Mus musculus: one gene and its partners. The protein of the gene in region 1 purifies or fractionates together with the protein of each later gene. This does not show direct contact. Links are inferred from orthologs where the notes say so. Each region holds a gene or a part of one and is shown in the gene's direction. Other genes may lie near its edges. The genes, in order: Eif4g1, Eif3h and Eif3i.

Region 1 (3,559 bases):
TTCAGGGGCGTTCCACATATGTTGTCCCAACACAGCAGTACCCTGTGCAGCCAGGAGCCCCAGGCTTCTATCCAGGTGCAAGCCCTACCGAGTTTGGGACCTATGGTAAGCCGGGCAGGGAGTAGGTGGGGAGAGTGTATCCTAGGGAACAGCTTAGGTGGTCAGTATTTCTAAATGCTAAGCTATTCTTCTGTATGCTTTTGGTTTTTTAAAATGATAGGATTAATAGATGATGGGGATTAGTGCCTAATATTTAACATATGTTGGTAAAGGAAGTTTTGATCCTTTGCCAAGAGAGTTGGAATCTTTCCTACTTCAAGAAGTAAAAGTGTACACTCCTTTAATCCCATCCAGCACAAAGGAGGCTGAGACAGGCGGATCTCTTAAGTTTGAAGCCAATCAGGTCTATGTAGTGAGTTTAGGACAGCCAGCGGTACATAGTAACACCCTGTCTCAAAACAAAGAAACAGGGTTAGGAACTTCAGTCTGGCTCTGTGGGTCAAAGTACCTGCCCCCAAACCTGATGACCTGAGTTTGATCACTGGGACCCAGGTGGTAGGAAGACAGCTGACTCCCACTAGTTATTTTCATATTTCCACTCAGCCCATGCACACGTAAATGAATGAATAAGCTGATCATTTAAAAAAGAAAGGGCTGGAGGTATAGCCCAGTGAATTGCTCTTGCAGAGAGGCCAAGTTCCGTACCAGCACCCGTGTTAGGCAGGTCACAGCTGTCTGCAACTTTCAACTCTTGGTGGATCCAACCCTTCTGGACCTTCTGGATACCTCACAGAGACATACCTCCACATAGACACATAATAAAAATATACTGAAAGACATACAGGCTCTGACCTGAAAGCCAAGTTAGTGAACTTTACATGGGCTTTCTTTTCATAGTTGGGAGACAGTAATGTGGATTTGAGTGGTTTTTGTAGCTAGTTCTCATTTATGTTCAAAGAAAAAACTCTGTGAACTTTATTGGCTTTATTTATTTTGTGGTTTTTTTTTTTTTTTCCCTCGAGACAGGGTTTGACTGGTCTCAAACTCAGAAATCCACCTGCCTCTGCCTCCCGAGTGCTGGGATTAAAGGCATGCACCACCACGCCCGGCTTTTATTGGCTTTATTTGAGACAGTCTTAGGTAGTTCTAACTTGGCCTGAAATTTGTCATGTAAACCAGGCTAGTCTTAAACTTGCAGTGTTCCCCCTGCCTCTAATTGCTGGAATTACAAGCATATGTTAGCATGCTAAGCTTGCAGCAGTATCTTTAAAAAAAATTTCCCATCAGGAAGATCTTATGTATATGTATATGTATAGTTGTGTGTGTGTGATTAAACATATAACCACCATTGATACTTTCAAAAGGAATAAGTGGGAACTAGGGATGAGCTACAAATTTACCCCGCTTTGGAAACAATTGCTTTAGGGAATTTTTATTTCTCTAAGCTGGATGTTACTTTTTGTTATGGTTGCCCCTTGCAAAGGGCCGAGTTAGGAATTTGAGTCAGCTTAAGTGGGACAATTTGGAAAACCCTGTTCATTCCCTGCCAAAGAGCTAATTGTGTCTCAAGTTGAGGGTGTGCATGTGTGTTGCTGGGTTGGGATGTGTGTGTGTGTGCGTGCGTGTGTGCGCGCGCGCACACACACACACACACACACACACACACACACGTGTATGAATGAATGTCTTGTGGGGTAGAACAGGTACTTGGTAGCTAGTGTAGAGAGGAAGGAGTTCCTTCCTATAAGGTGTGTGTATCTGTGAGGAATTCTTGTAAATGCAGTTCAAACTGGTTCCCCTGCTTTGACAGACACCTAATTCCCTGGGGAGGCGGGCAGGGCAGGGCAAGGGGCCGGCTGTGTATGATGAGAGGTTCTGCAGTGGGAGGTGTTCAAACGCATATTAGTATATGTTTGGATCTTGAGGCTGTCACGAATCTTTTCTGTCCTTCTTCCCCCAAGCTGGAGCCTATTACCCAGCCCAAGGTGTGCAGCAGTTTCCTGCTAGTGTGGCTCCTGCCCCAGTTTTGATGAACCAGCCACCCCAGATTGCTCCTAAGAGGGAACGGAAAACTGTAAGTAGCAGCTAGGAGCTCTGGGATACCTGGAAAGGGACACTCATGGTCTGCTGTTGGCTGGAATGTTGCGCTTGTGGGAGCAAAACTTCATAGACCTGAATGTAAGCAGAGAGTAAGGTCTGTGGAGAAGTCCCTTGTAAGGGGATTGTTCTGTAGAAGAACTCAGAAGACGACTTGGGCAGCAGGGAAAGACCCAAGAGACTTGGGCTCTAGTAGGTTCACAAGATGTGTGGTTGTTTTGGGGATGCTGGTGGTTAGCTTTGGAAATGGTTTGTTTTCTGTGCTCCTAACTCCTTGGTCCTGGAAGCTCTGGAGGCCTCCGCCTCTGCTCAGTCCTCAAGCCCTGGGCACGGTGCCCAGAATAGGGTGCCAGGGCTGGGGAAGCCGCTGAGTCACCCTGGCTCCACCCACTGCATCTGGGCCCTACCCCTAGAGATCAGACCGACTAGCCACAAGTGAGCTAGCCGGATGTTTGATGGGGGTCTTTAGGCCTAGGGTGTTTGGCTATTGACTTAGGGATTGCTGGTGGGTAGAGGGGAGGGAGGGAGGGGCATTGTGATGTACTGGGCTGCTCTGTGAGGTCAAGAGTCTTGGGGTGGGGGCTAGGGCAGCGACTACAAGAGCAGCCGGATGGGTTGACAGTAGAACTCATGGGGTTTCTGGCACCCACCCACCTGCTTCCCAGTAGGGGTGGGAGGTTGGCCCAGAGTGTTAGGAGGGGCAGGGTGGAGAGGTGGGCTTCTTCTGCTTCCCACTCATCCTATAGCTTTTTTTCCCCAGATCCGAATTCGAGACCCAAACCAAGGAGGGAAGGATATCACAGAAGAGATCATGTCTGGGGCCCGCACTGCCTCCACACCCACTCCTCCCCAGGTACTGTCATATCTTTGAGTGATACCTTGGTTTGGACAGCTATTCTGCCCTAGATTCCGAAGTCACTTGATCTTTCCCTTCACCTTAGGGGTTTGTTTCCCATTTCCCTGCTTTCCTGGATTTCTAGGCAGAGCTAAAGTAGAAATGACTCTAGTAGAGAAGGGTGTGGAACTCTTCAGTGCAAACTTATAACGCTTTGTGTCCTGCAGACGGGAGGCAGTCTGGAGCCTCAACCCAATGGGGAGTCGCCTCAGGTTGCTGTCATTATCCGGCCAGGTAAGGAAGGCAGTGGCACAACCTTTACGGGGGAAGTGGGGAGTGTGAGGATTTACACTTGAAGGAGTGATTCAAACTGAGTACCAGAGAATGACTTAGGTGTCCTGTAGTGGGTTTGAAGTTGCACTGTTTGGATGAGGGGTGAGAACAGCCAAGGTGGGAGAAGGTTGGGATGTGTTTTGTTAAATTGGAAGTAAGCTTCACTAAGAGGAAGAACAAGAACAGTGAAGGACTTGCTGTCATGCATCCATTCTTCCTGCAGATGACCGGTCGCAGGGAGCAGCCATTGGGGGGCGGCCAGGACTGCCTGGCCCAGAGCATAGCCCTGGCACA
Region 2 (4,192 bases), on another chromosome or scaffold:
ACGGCTTAAAATAATTTAAACATTTATATTTGAGTACTTTGGTGCTGAACTCTGGGTCTTTACTTCGGCTGGCTCGTCTAATACAGATCTGGTGATGGAAAGGTAGCTAGTAGGGACTTCTCTGAAGGGACTCTAGCCAGCCCAAGCACTGCAGGCATCGATCTGTTAGGCCTTGCCCTTCTCCCCCCATTCCCTCCATCAAACCAAACCAACAGATTGCATTCCTAAAGCTAGCCAACAAGGTCCATTCCCTTATTTGGCCACTTCCTCCTCCTGTGGATGACTACCAAAGTCCAGCTATCAAAGGAAGTCCAGCACTCAGCACCTCCCTTGGCTCACCTAATTAACATACCCAATTAAAATTAAGCACTTCATCCTAATATGGGTTTTCCCCTTCACCTTTACAAGCTGCCATTGTCACATTTGTGTCCCTGCTTTCCAGAGGCAGTGTCCTGTCAAACTATGTATGTTGTAGGATTAGCTAGTGGATATTTTTTCTTTATAAATACCACACAGTTTTAACTCCCACTTAATTCTTTTGAGAGTTTTATTTCTGCTTTTTAACACCCTGCTACTGCTTTCTAGTGTAACTCTTCTATGATGCACCTTTGATACTTTGTGGAGATTTTCTCTGTGAGCCAGGATGCTAATATTCCTTCTAGACTTGTAGAAGTGGACATTGAATCATTGAATCATTAGTAACATTTTAATCCTTGCTGTCAGATTGATGCATAACAAACCCCAAATAATAGCAACAACAAAAATTAAAGGTTAGCATACAATATTTTCTGCCACAGTGTGACCATTTCATTACTTTTGAATAAGGAGTAGGGAAAAAGTCACTCTAAAGCAGAGAATTATTACAATGGCTTCCTACAACAGATGTAGTGTTTTCCAGTCACGATAATATGTATTTCAGAGCTCATGTCATAGGTCAGCATTATTCGTAGAGTCTGCATTCTGAATACTTACCATGACATCAACTTCCACACTACAACACTACAGAAAAGAACTTCTGAGTATTTTACCCAGGTAAATCTTTCATTTTAGAGACTGATCAAAGTTAACCATGTTTTAGACATTTTCTGTATATTCTGAGTGGGTGTAGAATAATGGCTCTTGCTTCTAAGCTCTTTCTCTGTAGTCAGAGTGACCCTAATCAATTACTGTGGGTTGAGCAGTACGGGCCAAACTCCGCGCGTGCGCAGAGGATTCCCACAATCTCAGGGAGGGTTGGGGGAGGGAGAAACACCACCGAGGAGGCGGGGCCCTGCCCAGCCTGCTTCCAGACACCGCCCCCCCCACCCCCAAAGCCTTAACATAGCGTCACGGAGCCTCGTAGTTCCGCTTCCGGCGCCTCACGCTTCTCTTTCTTCCTGTCTGGCTGGAAACATGGCGTCGCGCAAGGAAGGCACCGGCTCTACCGCCACCTCCTCCGGTTCTGCTGGCGGCGCGGTGGGGAAGGGCAAAGGCAAAGGCGGCTCCGGAGATTCGGCCGTGAAGCAGGTGCAGATCGACGGCCTGGTGAGTGCGGGTTGCGGCCACAGGCCCACGTGTGAGGCTGATCCCTGCCGGGCGCGCTTCCTGCCGCCTTCCCCAGGCGCGGGCTGACCGCGCTCTCCCCTCGGCGCCCTTCTCCTTCATCTTCACTTTTGCTCGAAAGACACCGCAGCCTTCCCTGTTTTCCGACGAGAGACCTGAGTGCTGAGAAACGGGGCCGGAATGGGGGTATGGGACAGCTTGGCGTGGTCTGGCTTTTAGAGGCTCAGGAGAGGAGGGGTTACAACCGAATGACAGTTGTGATGGGAAGGATTTAGGGTTCTGTTTGGGGCTCTAGGGAGAGGAGTGAGGGGAAAGGAAACACCTTGGCTTCCCGGAGGGGCGTTTGCCAAGTGCATTCTCAATAGATTTACTGTGTTAGCGTGTGTTAACTTTACCTGGGCTTGCAGAACTGGGGTAAAACTCTTAGGCAGAGTTCAGCGTGAACCCAAGAAGCCATAGGACACAGCCGTAAGTTTATTTCTGCATAAGATCCATGACTTAGAGTATCTGGGGAAGCTCGGGGGAAGGTAGTGGATGGAAGAGAAAATATGCGAATCTAGAAATGAGGTGGGGTTCTAAGCTTTAGGAACCTTCCTCCTGAAGGTTGTGGTGGCACATGTCTTTACCCTGAGCACAGGTGAGGCCCAGGCAGGCAGAGCTCCACGAGTTTGAGGTCATTTGGCACCGAGATCTTGTCTCAAAAAGAAAACCACAGAGAAAAGAAAAAGGTCATCGTCGTCGTCTTCTTCTTCTCCCTTCTTTCTCCTCCTCCTTCTTTTCTTCTTTTTTCTTTTTTCCCCAAAGCACCCTTTTCTCTCAAACCAGTTTTTAGGTATTATCCATTAGGTATTTTCTAAAGACTTTTTTTTTTTTTTTTTTTTTTTTTCGAGACAGGGTTTCTCTGTGTAGCCCTGGCTGTCCTGGAACTCACTTCGTAGACCAGGCTGGCCTCGAACTCAGAAATCTGCCTGCCTCTGCCTCCCAAGTGCTAGGATTAAAGGCGTGCGCCACCATGCCCGGCTAAAGACTCTTGTAATAGGGATTTTTTAATTTATGTGAAAATTGTGATTGCAGCAGGCAGTGTTTAAGTGGAAATTATTAGTAATTTCACTTTGGACTATAGTTTAGTTAGATTGTCATGAGGCTTTTTTGTGTTTGTTGTTTAATATAACCTGATGTTTATAGACTTAGTCTCTGTGGCCCTAAGAAGTTGGCCTTAACCAGCTTTAGTTACCTCATGTGTTCAGATGGGATTGAGAAGTAGTTAGGCATTGGTGTATCGTTTGGATTATGTGAAAACCTGTATGTGGTGAGCATGGGAGACTGTAAGCTGTGCTTGTTACTGACTGTAATACCTGTGGATGTCAGAGTTTGAAAGATGCAGGGAAGAGCTTAAGTTTAGAAAGCTTTATGCCTCCAGTTAAGTATCACTTGCATAGTACTGTGAAAAAGAAATGTTAGGTTGTTTACTTAGCTGACAGTTTCAGCTTTCAATGGCTTTTTGAGGCAGGTGCCTTTTAGGAATAAATAATACATGTTTAAAGATCGCAAATTAGTTGGTGGGTGGACTTGTAAAGTATCATTTCAACACTTGGAAAGTATTTTAAGTCATAACTTATGTCTTAACTGCATTTTTGTATAATTTGAAACCACTCTTTGAATTACTTGGCTTCTAGAGTTGTAAAAGTCAACAGGTAGGTGTTATAAATCTGCCTGGTAGATGTAATTACAAGTATGTATTTATTTTAGGACTGGGTTTGGACATGGTGGTCCACACCTGTAATCCCAACACTTGGGAAGGTACAGCAGGATTCTGGGGAGTTGTCCAGCAGCCTGGGCTACGTAGTGGGACTGACTGTCAAACACGACACAGTAGAACATACTTTTAGGGCAGTCTTGTAACTGCCGAGCTGTCTCAACAGGAACAGTGTCAGGGTGCCTTAAGATTGCAGCAGGTGGGAACAGACAGGGCCATTTGAGTTCAACCGGCAGGCAGTGGGCCTAGGAAAGTCAAGACACTTATTCTTAGTTCTGGATTCATGGCTCACTGTTTTCTTTTATCTGGGGACTGATTATTGCTCTTCCTAAGAGATTGTGTTAGAAGTTTGGGTGTTGATAGTTTACTATGAAGATACACTTTTCAGTGACAAAAATACTCATGTCTTCACTCAAAAGGGCCTCTTGATTATCAGGGGTCCTGACAAATCATATTGTGACTCAGAAGCTTATGAGTGACCCTGATGAGTTATAAAAAGGGACACTCAGATGGTTAAGTGCCTTTACTTAGTGAGCCATCATGCTGACCCTTAGTTCAAATCTTGGTATTTCCTTTAAAGATATCTTAATTTTTTTTTTCTCATTCATTTAATTTAAAACCTCGAGTCCTAAATCCTTTTATTAGATGCTTTCAGTGAATTCAAGATCCATCAAGGTGTAGTTTTTGCTTACATGTTCTTGGTTTGTGTTGAGTTTTTTTTTTTTTTTTTTCCTCTTCCCAGTTCTTTCTTCACTTTGTCCAGAATGTTCACCTTTGGCCAGTTAGCCATTCCCTGACTAGGTTTGTCTTTTTTTTTTTTTTTTTTTTTTGTCTATGGCATTCCACTTTTTCTCCTTGTCATGTATATTATTGCCACATGTGGCTTAATAGAGC
Region 3 (4,354 bases), on another chromosome or scaffold:
GGAGAGACCTGTCAGGGGCTGCCTGCGTGTGCAACGGCTTTCCCAGTTCTCAACCTTCCTAATGCTGCGACCCTTTAATCCAGTTCCTCATGTTGTGGGGACCCCCCAACCATAAAATTATTTTCATTGCCACTTCACAACTGTAATTTTACTACAGTTATGGACTGTCACGTAAGTATCTGATATGCAGGATATCTGGTGTCAGACCCCTTGCCAGTTGTTACCCAGTTCGAGAGTCCCTGTTCTGGCTTGCACCTTCCCACGGGGGTTGGCATGGTTACAAATGCTCAGGGACCGCTCATGTGTTTGAAGACCCCTTAGAGCAAACAGAGAAACGCATTCAATGTACTCTATTGCCTTAAATGCCCTCTCCCTCGTCATGGCCAGTTCCCATCGTCCCTGCTGGTATAAGGCCTTGAGTGACAGTGTTACCCCTTCTAAGTAGCCCACTCCATGTCCTCCAGCTTCATCTCTCTGTACAGAATTCACACAGTACTATAAATATAGTACCTCTCTCCTTCCCCCTAACCCTCAGAGTAGGGCATATCTAGCTAGCTTACATAGGCAGCCATGGGCAGTTCTCGATAGCTTTCCTTATGTTCTACCCCAGGGCAAGTTGAGCCGAAAGAAAGCTCAACTTGGTGATGATGACCTTAAGAGTAGTCCTGGAGCCTGGCAGTGGTGGCGCCTTTAATCCCAGCACTCAGGAGTCAGATGCAGGCTGATCTCTGAATTCGAGGCTAGTGAGTTCAGGGTAGCCAGGGATACACAGAGAAACCCTGTCTCCAAAAACAAACAATAAGCAAAAATAGTCATTGATTGAACATGTACCCTGTACTAGGCCCAATGCTAAGTGTTTTATGTGTCTTACTTGAGTTCTTATATCAGCCCTATACAAGGGTTATCATTAAATTTTCCATTTTTTTGACGAAACAGACTCACAGAGGATAAATGACTCTTCCAGGAACTTCTAGTGAGTAAGAGATGGGCTGGGAATACGGCCGACCTATGGTGAAATTTTCAGGGGCTCGTCCGTGAGAGCTAGACGCACCTCAGTATTCCCGAAGAGAGCCTTTATCTCCTGCAACAGCTGCCAGGCCCACGTCCGCTCACGCACTTGCTCCAGGCCGGAGGAGGCTCGCTTCAGCAGCGGCTGCGTGCCACCCCACAGTGCGGCCACCAGCACCAGAGCAAGCACCTGCCCTGAAAGCAAAGGGTCAGAAAGTCACCCGGGTCCTCCTCCGGCCTCCTGCACCCTGCTGCCCGGCTCCATCTCCCTCCCTCCCTCTTCCCGCCGGGCTGTGATCGGTCGGGAGGACCCGCCCAGAGGGCGGCCGAAGTGAGACCAGGGTGCGTGGCTCAGCATTCCTGAGGCTCGGGGATGCCAGGAGACTGAGAACAGAGCTCCCGAGCCAGAGTCGGAGCCCGCGGAGGTGGGGGGCCCGGCTACCCACCCCAGGACGCCGCCATGAAAACGCCAGGCCCTTCTACTTCCGGGAGCGAGAGGGCGGAGCCCCCGCATCCGGAAGTCGTCCCTAGTCTTTTTCCGGTCCCACTCACATTGCCTCTCTCCTCGCGTCACCGCCAGGATGGTGAGTTCCAGGCGCGGCGTGCTGCCGTCGGGGGGCCTCAGTAGGCATGGGACGGGGTTCCCGGCACTGACACCCCGGTTCTGTCCCCACAGAAACCCATCCTGCTGCAGGGCCATGAGCGGTCCATCACGCAGATCAAGTATAACCGCGAAGGAGACCTTCTCTTCACCGTGGCCAAAGACCCTGTGAGCGACTGCGTGAGGGCGGGCGGCCGGGGGTCCGGGGCGGGGGGCCCGGAGGGGGCGAGTTCGCGCCGCCCGGACTGCGGGTGGACAAGGTTTACTGCCTGCGGGAGGGAAATTTTTCTGATAAGTAGGGAAAACCAACCCCATACCGCGGTAGGTTGGCGACAGCATTCCGCCAGGGAAATCTGGAAGGGAAGGGTACCTAGCCAGGGAGAAGAGAATCAGGAGACTGGAAGGGAGCCCAGGGACAGGACAGGACAGAATCAAGTGGTCTGTTCAATCCCACTTTGTTTCCTTTGGGGATTGTCTTTTGAGGCATTTGCATTGGAGGCAATAAACTGATAGTTAACAGTGGAGAGTTAAGTCGGAGCTTGAGATCTGAGCCCTAACTCCTGCTCCTACTAAGCAGTGTGACTTTGAACATGACATTTACCTTTTCTATAAACCACAGTTTTCCCTTTTAATAAAACATGGAGACTTTAATTAGCTCCCTCAGCAGAGTGAGGTCATTTCTGTAAATCGTTTTGCACTGTACCCGATGCATGTAAGTCACTTATTTTAAGTTTCATAGACATGGTTTCATTGGAGCTTCACAGCTGCCCTTTGAAGAAAGCTGTTGACAAGAGTGGGGTATCTGTCCATGGTGGCCAGCACACCTCTCCATCCTCCTGCCTCAGCCTCCTGGTCTTGGGAATACAAGTGTGTGCTACCACACACAGCCCCTCCCAGTCATTTTTTTTTTTTAATGTATGTGTGTGTAATGATTTTGTTTATTTTATGTGTATGGGTGCTTTGCTGCATTGTATGTCTACATAGCATGTGAGTGCCTGGTGCCTGTGAAGGCCAGAAGAGGATATCAAATCTCCTGGAACTGCAGATACAGATTGTTGTAAGCCATCATGTGGGTGTTGGGAATCAAACCCAAGTCATCTGGAGGAGCAGCCAGTGCTCTTTAAGCTCTGAGCCTTCTCTTCAGCTCTCCTAGCCATTTAAAGGAAGGGAGCTCTGTATTTAAGATCACACAGTGAGCTAGTGACAAAGCAGTGGAGCCCATACATCCTTACTGTCATCCGGAGTCAATTGAACAGGACCCGAAAGGTTTTTTTTCACACTGCAACTCAGGTTGGCCTTTACCTCTTCTGACTCCAGACAAAAGCACATGAGGATGCTATTGGAGGCCTGGCTCTTCTACAGCTTATGTTAGGAAAGGAGGAGAACCCAGGAGCTGGGCGGTCCTATCAGCTCTTCACTGGTAAATGAGCAGAAGGCAAACCTGGCTTGGCTAGAGCCTGCAGAGGGTTTGTAGTGCAAGCTAAGCTATTGATTATTTTGGGATGTGACCATCCTATCATTTTACTCTTTCCAGATCGTCAACGTGTGGTACTCTGTCAATGGGGAGAGGCTAGGCACCTACATGGGCCACACTGGAGCTGTGTGGTGCGTGGATGCTGACTGTATCCTTTTGGCCATGGGTTAGCCAGCCTTGGAGATACTGGCTTTGGCATGTTGTGGCGGTCTAGAGAATAACACTCCCTACTCCCAGCTACTTCATCCTGTGGGAAACTAGGACAGGTTCAAGTTTGGGAATTCAGAGGTCAGGGCACTCTGAGGTAAAAGTGAGAAAGTCTCTTTGGGACTGACCTGGGAGATGCTCTGATGGCTTCCAAGAAGATATGGACTAGGTGGACTATGTATTCTTATTTGTATATATGTGCGTGGTGAATCTGTGTGCACAGGAGTAGGGACAAATGGAGGCATCAGGTCTTAAGTTGTTCTTCAACCTTTTTTTTTTTTTTTAATCTTTTTTATCATTTTTCTTTTCCCTAAAGATTAGGGGTTTTGGTTTTGGTGTTTTTTGGTTTTTGGGTTTTTTTTTTTTTTTTTTTTTTGTTTGTTTTTCAAGACAGGGTTTCTCTTTATAGCCCTGGCTGTCCTGGACTGTCACTCTGTAGACCAGGCTGGTCTCTGCCTCCTGAGTGCTGGGATTAGAGGCATGCGCCACTACTGCCCAGCTTAAAGATTGGTTTTATTTGTATGGGTGTTTTGCTGCATATGTGTCTGTGTACCTTGTGTGTACTTTGCTAGCCATTTTCCTTTAAATGACAGAAGGCCGCAGATCCCTTAGGACAGGAGTTATAAATGGTTGCGAGCTACTATGTGGGTGCTAGGAACCTAACTGGGTCTTCTGGAAGAGCAGCCATTGCTCTAACGACTGAGCCATCTCTCCAGCTTTGTTTGTTTGTTTGTTTGTTTGTTTAGGGGTTTTTGGTTTGGTTTTTGGTTTTCTTTTTTTTTCTTTTTAAATTTTTTTAAGGTTTATTTATTTTATATGTGTGAGTACACAGTAACTATCTTCAGACACACCAGAAGAGGACATCAGATCCCATTACAGATGGTTGTGAGCCACCATGTGGTTGCTAGGATTTGAACTCAGGACCTCTGGAAGAACAGTCAGTGCTCTTAACTACTGAGCCATCTCTCCAGCCCCTGTTTTTTGGTTTTCAAGACATTGTCTCACTATGGTAGCGTTGGCTGTCTTGGAACTCTCTGCAGACCAGGTAGGCCTTAAGAGATCCA

The links.
Region 2: the proteins of Eif4g1 (region 1) and Eif3h purify together in Homo sapiens (affinity purification with mass spectrometry; 4 studies listed by BioGRID). This does not show direct contact. The link is inferred for Mus musculus from reciprocal best matches to the Homo sapiens genes EIF4G1 and EIF3H.
Region 3: the proteins of Eif4g1 (region 1) and Eif3i purify together in Homo sapiens (affinity purification with mass spectrometry; 5 studies listed by BioGRID and IntAct, counting the BioPlex papers as one, with this or other methods). This does not show direct contact. The link is inferred for Mus musculus from reciprocal best matches to the Homo sapiens genes EIF4G1 and EIF3I.

The regions. Positions count from the first base shown.
Region 1 is NC_000082.6:20,675,725-20,679,283, forward strand, and holds part of Eif4g1 (eukaryotic translation initiation factor 4 gamma 1), read left to right. Parts: intron 1-5; coding exon 6-105; intron 106-1,961; coding exon 1,962-2,074; intron 2,075-2,857; coding exon 2,858-2,950; intron 2,951-3,159; coding exon 3,160-3,226; intron 3,227-3,488; coding exon 3,489-3,559.
Region 2 is NC_000081.6:51,862,658-51,866,849, reverse strand, and holds the start of Eif3h (eukaryotic translation initiation factor 3 subunit H), read left to right. Parts: upstream 1-1,388; 5' UTR 1,389-1,392; coding exon 1,393-1,524; intron 1,525-4,192.
Region 3 is NC_000070.6:129,597,832-129,602,185, reverse strand, and holds the start of Eif3i (eukaryotic translation initiation factor 3 subunit I), read left to right. Parts: upstream 1-1,537; 5' UTR 1,538-1,589; coding exon 1,590-1,592; intron 1,593-1,684; coding exon 1,685-1,777; intron 1,778-3,143; coding exon 3,144-3,231; intron 3,232-4,354. Other genes in the region: Tmem234 (transmembrane protein 234 isoform 1 precursor), read right to left, coding at 1,052-1,203, 1,455-1,470. UniProt on the Homo sapiens protein: Component of the eukaryotic translation initiation factor 3 (eIF-3) complex, which is required for several steps in the initiation of protein synthesis.